Callithrix jacchus: one gene and its partner. The protein of the gene in region 1 purifies or fractionates together with the protein of each later gene. This does not show direct contact. Links are inferred from orthologs where the notes say so. Each region holds a gene or a part of one and is shown on either strand. Other genes may lie near its edges.

Region 1 (2,723 bases):
ATGCTGCCTAGGGATAACTAAGGCCCCCAGCCCCAGTTCCTGTGCAGAGCCTGCCTCACGGCCCACTGGGTAGGCCCCGAGGAATCACCCCTCACTGCTTCCATGAGCCTCCCTGGTAGCCTTTTGATCTGAGCAGGCTGGTCCCTGTGCAAGCCGTCTGCTGTCCCAGATGCTGGAGGGCCAGGTGGGTTCCATCAAATGCACCTCTTTTTCTTTCTCTAGAAGATAATTTCCCAAAGGGTGGGAAGACCTGTCTTACTTCAGTTTTGGGGGGGTCCCTATTTTGATCCCTCGAGGCTGTAACTGCAGGCCCTTCACTTGGCAACGCAGGCCTGGCCACCAGGATATACCCTGTGTTCTCCCTCCTGACTCCTCCCCTAGCCCCATCAGCAGGGTCAGATCAGAGGTGGCCCCTGGAGTGGCAGGTGCAGACACAGAGGCAGTTCTCCCTCCTGACTCCTCCCCTAGCTCCATCAGCAGGGTCAGATCAGAGATGGCCCCTGGAGGGGCAGGCGCAGACACAGAGGCATCCATTTCCCCTTGCAGCAACCTTTATTTCCAGCACTTGATCCTGCTCAGATGCTGGCAGGAGGCCCTCTGCTCAGCCTGCCAGGCTCTGCGCTGCCTCCCCGCAGGCGAAGATTCATGTACACGGTGCACAGGGGCTTGAGGTCATACTCTCCCAGCGGGAGCTGGTCCTCCATGGGCTTCCCCTCGAAGGTCAGCCAGAACAGGTCTTCCTGCACGCCCTCCTGCTGGCTCACTTGCCGCTTCAGCTGCGCCACGGTCTGTGTCAGTGCCACCTCATAGGTGCTGCTGCGGCCCTTGTCATTCCTCACCAGGATGCTCAGAGGTTCATGACAGCTGTCCACCACCAGCAGGATGGTGCTGCCGGGGCCCAGGCCCTGGCTGGCAAGGGGGACCCTGTCCTGCAGTGCCATGCCACTCGGGTAGATGGCCAGACGCTGCTGGAAGGCGTGCACACCGATCTTCTGGGTGATCTTTGCCTTCAGCTCTGACACCAACATGGAGTTGCTCAGGGGCACCTGGAACTCGTGGCCCCCCAGCATCTTCACTGTCAGGTCCCGGCCCTGCAGGAATCACACAGGCTCAGAGACTCTGCACCAGCCCCAGGCCCACCACACATGAGGCTCTGGCTGCACAAGCGCCTGTGCCCAGGGATACTGCTCCATCCACATGTTGTCAGCAGGGACCGCAGGCACAGAAGGCACTGAGGGGTCACTGCTAGAAGGTCAGCTGCCCACAGCCACCTTGTGGCCTCCCCTTACCTGCTAGGACGCCCCTCTGTGCCCCACCCCGACACTCTCCGGGGTGACCCGCTTTCAGGAGAACGTTCAGGTCACCTGGCTGACCACTCAGCACCCTGCACCCCCAGGAGACCCTGGCTGGGGAAGAGAGAGGAAAATGGACTGAACGCAGCCCCCCGCCCCCACCTGTGGCATCTGCCTTACCATGGCTGTGGGCTGTGGCACAAGCTCCCATACAGCAAAGATGAATGCGCTGCCTCTGGGCTGCCAGCTCCCGAGCCACCACCGGCCCTTTTATAAGCCTGAGCCGCACATGTCAGGGGGCGTGCCAGGGGAGCCTGAGCCTAGTGGCCAGATTCAGCTTCGGTTTCAGTTTCCTTTTCCCGAGGCAAGCCCGGGAGTGAGTAGAAGAAACAAAACAGAATGACGAAAACAGAGGGAAAAGCAGAAGCAGAGTAGGCAGGGTCTCAAGGGCACGGTCAGGGACAGGGACTCAGGACAGCGGACAGCGTCCCCACCCCTGCCCAACGCCCTGGAAACACCTGAGTATCCAGCATTCTGGGTCCTTCACGAGATGTAGTAACTCATCGTCGCATGAACGAATGATGGGCAGTTTTCATTTTCCATTTACCAGTTTGCAAGATTAGTAAACTTGGAAGTGAAACAGTGACCGTCCAAACTACCCAGAGATAACCTCACTTGGTTTAGGGAAATGTTTGCTCAGATTGGTGTTTTTTGTTGTTGTTTTTGTTTTTTTGAGACAGGGTCTCACTCTGTCCCCCAGGCTGAAGTGCAGTGGCACGATCTCAGTGCACTGCAGCCTCCACCTCCTGGGCCAAAGCGATCCTTTCACTTCAGCCTCTTAAGTAGCTGGGACCACAGGTGCACCAGCTAATTTTTTGTATTTTTAGTAGAGATGGAATCTCTCCATGTTGCCCAAGTTGGTCTTGAACTTCTGGACTCAAGTGATCCACCTGCCTCGGCCCCAAAAGTGCAGGGATGACAGGCCTGAGCCGCCACGCTCAGGCCTCATATTGTTTTTTAATAGAAGAGACATATCTTTTATTAAAAAAAAAAAAATGAATTCTGGGGCCCTACTGAGAAAGTGAAAAACAATCCACAGAATGGGAAGAAATATTTTCAAATTATTTCTCTGATGAGGGGCAGCATCCAGGGCGTACAAAGAACTCTTACAACTCAATTTTAAAAAGGCGAGTCAATTTTAAAATGGGCAAAAGACTTCAATAGACATTTCTCCAGTGACACAGAAACAGCTGCGTACCTCGGGAAGGCGGCCGTATCATTATTCATGGGGAAATGCAAATCAAAACCCCAATGAGAAGCTGATTTCGATTAGCATGACTGTAATAATGAAAATGAAGGCTCACTGAACATGTCCTCCAACATTTCAGGAGGCTGAGGAAGACATATCACCTGAGGTCAGGCGTTCCAGAC
Region 2 (3,570 bases), about 7.5 Mb from region 1:
ATCTGAAGAATTATGGCCAAATTTGTAATTCACTATTTTAATTCTGCTACAAACCAGATTTTCCCCAGGTCCCCCACACCCCTTTTTGGCCTCGTCCTAGTGGTTTTGCTTGTGACCTTCATGTCTGTTCTTGGTTCCTTTCCATTTCCGTGCCAGCCCTCATTGTTTGCTCATGACAGTAGCCAGTTTTGCATCTAGCAACACATTCATCTTTCCAGTTGGATTTGATTTCTCCCTGGGCACACAAATTGTTGGGCTTTTTCTCTTTTTTTGCTTACAGAACAAGACCACAGATGCTGGGGTTTAAACCATTTATGCCGGAGGTTCCAAATATTTTTTGTGAAAAATCAGACCTTGGCAATGACTTGGGCAGTAGGATAAAAATAACTCCCGCAAGCTTAGTGTTCCAATAATGGAACACTAGGAATAAATAGCTTAAGGCCTTCCAGAGCTGGGCCTAACTACTTATTTAGGAGAATTCCCACTGCTTTTCAGCAGGCTTCCCCCCACACCCTAACCAGCTTTCCAACATCCAATATTTAGTCCAATGCCGGTTCTTTCTAGTCCAGGAACCTCGGAGTGATTCCTTGACTGAGGAAGCAAATGCAGCATTACGGCTTGTGGAAAATATGACCTGTGTATCTCCCCCACAGAAATCCACCATGTCTATTCTCAAGATCCATGCCAGGGAGATCTTTGACTCTCGTGGGAATCCCACCGTCGAGGTTGATCTCTTCACCGCAAAAGGTATGTGCCACCCTGGTTTCCGCAGTTCCTTCCACCACGCTTCATTTTTAAAATTTTCTACAAATGCTGGAGCCTTGGGCAAAAAAAAAAAAAAAAAAAATCGATCAAAGCTTTTCTTTCTGTCTGCATGTGCTAGTAGGTTGTGATTCCTGACTAGCGGTGTTGGGGGATTTTTCGGCATGTAGCCAGTATCTTGGTGCCCCTTGGCTTAAAACCACATAAGTTGGTTGGCTCCTAAGTCAGTGAGGTAAGGAGGTAAGTAAGGTGATACCATTGAGACCTTGTCCCTAGAAGGACCCATCACTAGTTGTTGGCTGACAGCTTGCAGTGACCAAATATGGAGATAACAGCATGATAGGATGATTTCTCTTGATAGGGAAAGAGATCAGGGGAGGACCAGCAGGCATAAACTTAGCACCCTTATCTCTGTGTCTAGAAATCACTCTTCAGCAAGGATCAAGGACAGTTTTTACCTGTGGGCTTGGGAATAATCCAGAGGCTCTCATTTTTACCTGGCCATCAATCCCCATTGGAGGAGTTTTCTTAAGAAAAAAACAACAGAATGGGGAAACTCCTTCCTTTTACTTTAAGAAGAAAATCCAGTGCCTCTGTAGCCGTGCGTTACCTCTAGCACATGGCACAGTGGACAGGGTGGGTGAGGTTGGCAAAGGAGCTTCAGGCAGAATCATTCAGGGGTGCTAAACACAGAGAACTGCCAGTCAGAGCTGAGTCACCCGCTGTGAGTCGCCCTAGCAGTGGAACCCCAGCCCTTCCCTTCCCCTCCCCCTCAAGAAGGAAGGATCCTTGAGGCTCAACTTAACAGGGCAAAAGACTGCCTGTGTTCTGCCTCTGACTGCTTGCAGTGTGGGCTCCCAGGCACAGAGGGGTTTCTCCAGAATCCTGAGGGCTCTCACAGGATGCCAAGAATTTGCTTCATCCAATGAGATTGGTTTACTTAGTCAATGAGTGGAACTTTCTGCTTGAAAATTACTGAACTTCAAGCAACAAAAGACCCCAGATGTCAGGGGATTGTTCGGAGGCGGACATTATGTCTTAATCCTTTTTAAAAAATGAAATGATAACTTGTTCAGAACATTTCATCTTCATCTCTCTTCCTGTCTCATGGCCTTTTTTAGAGCAGTTTTAGGTTTTAGCTTCACCGCAAAAGCAGGCGGAAGGTGCAGAGGCCCGTGCACCCCCATGAACCCACGTGCACCCACTGCCTCTGCGCATGCGCAGCCTCCCCCATTGTCAACATCCCCACCAGAGTGGTGACTATGCATACACATTATCACCAAAAGTCTGCAGAAACCAACAAGTCTCTCGTTTTCAACTTGTCTTTGTCCGATCCAGTGCTGGGTGGATATGTAGGGAGCCCCAGGTCAGGTTCTAAGAAGAAAGTCCGTCCTAACATGCTGCAGTGCGATGGGGAACACCGGTGGGTCCTTTGCTGAAAATACCTGGTTGTTTTGGTTGGTTGGTTGGTTTGTTTTTTTTTTTTTGTCATTTGCCTTCACACTCCACACATCTCAAATGGAGAAATTTCTTCTACCTTCAAGTAGATTCAAGGGGCTGCCTACACTTTCCGCTCCCCTAAACCTGTCTGCCCCACCTATCTGCAACACCTTCCTTGACACCATCTGTTCTTTTACCTCCTCCAAAAATTGCTTTTGTTATGCTTAATGGCATAGGTTTCACCAGATGGCTGGTTTCCGAATCTGCAGGATTACTTGGTTCGATTCTTGTATTTATTAGACCGCACATTTTCTTTCTTTCTTCCTTCCCCTCGCATCCATACTCTTTGCTGGCTCCCAGTTGAGCATAGAACCCCCAAAATAGCATTTAGCATTGTCCAAACTGAAAGAAATCAGCTAGATATTCCTCCTGAGCCAATAAATTCCCTAATTTCATGCTTAACATCCATATAGTATCTGGTGGGGTGCAGTAGCTCAGGTCTGTAATCCCAGTACTTTGAGAGGCTGAGGTGGGTGCATCACGAGGTCAGGAGTTCAAGACCAGCCTGGCCAACGTGGTGAACATTTGTATTTCTACTAAAAATACAAAAATTAGTCTGGTGCAGTAGCGGGTGACTATAATCCCAGCTCCTGGGGAGGCTGATGCAGTAGAATTGCTTGAACCCGGTAGGTAGAGGTTGCAGTGAGCCGAGGTTGCAGTGAGCCGAGATCACGTCATGCGCTCCTCCAGCCTGGGGATATAGTGAGACTGTTTCAAAACAAGCAAACAAAAACATACATAGATAGATACACACACACACACACAGAGTACCAGAACATCTTCAATGCCCTGTATGGCTCGCACTGTATTTCTGTCAGGCAGTGCTGCTGGGATAATCCACAGGGCACTAACACAAGCTTGTGAGCGATACATACTCGGACTTCCAGGGTCAGAATCTGCATTTTAACAAGACCCCGGGTGGCATGCAGGCTCTACTGGAGAGCGGTTTCCTTCTGCTAGGGGAATTAGTCATCTTTGTAGTGAGGTTTGCAGTACAGGATTATAAGCACATGAAAAGCACTAAGAACAGGCCAGAGCATTTAAATCCCCCAGCTGGTAGGAGGAAGAAACAGTTCTCTAATGACAGATGCATCTGTGGGCGGGAGGGAGCTGGGGCTTGTGCTGTAACTGGATTTCTTAATTGCTACTGTTGTCTTTTTCCCCCTCATCCAGGTCTCTTCAGAGCTGCTGTGCCTAGTGGTGCTTCAACTGGTATCTATGAGGCCCTAGAGCTCCGGGACAATGATAAGACTCGCTATATGGGGAAGGGTAAGCCTTAAAACCCACAGCCCGTGGTCTCCCTGCCTC

The links. The genes of interacting proteins can lie anywhere in the genome.
Region 2: the proteins of ISG15 (region 1) and ENO1 purify together in Homo sapiens (affinity purification with mass spectrometry; 4 studies listed by BioGRID, with this or other methods). This does not show direct contact. The link is inferred for Callithrix jacchus from reciprocal best matches to the Homo sapiens genes ISG15 and ENO1.

The regions. Positions count from the first base shown.
Region 1 is NC_133508.1:39,228,998-39,231,720, reverse strand, and holds ISG15 (ubiquitin-like protein ISG15), read right to left. Parts: upstream 1,538-2,723; 5' UTR 1,476-1,537; coding exon 1,473-1,475; intron 1,092-1,472; coding exon 576-1,091; 3' UTR 534-575; downstream 1-533.
Region 2 is NC_133508.1:46,738,336-46,741,905, reverse strand, and holds part of ENO1 (alpha-enolase), read left to right. Parts: intron 1-653; 5' UTR 654-662; coding exon 663-747; intron 748-3,435; coding exon 3,436-3,531; intron 3,532-3,570. UniProt on the Homo sapiens protein: Glycolytic enzyme the catalyzes the conversion of 2-phosphoglycerate to phosphoenolpyruvate. In addition to glycolysis, involved in various processes such as growth control, hypoxia tolerance and allergic responses.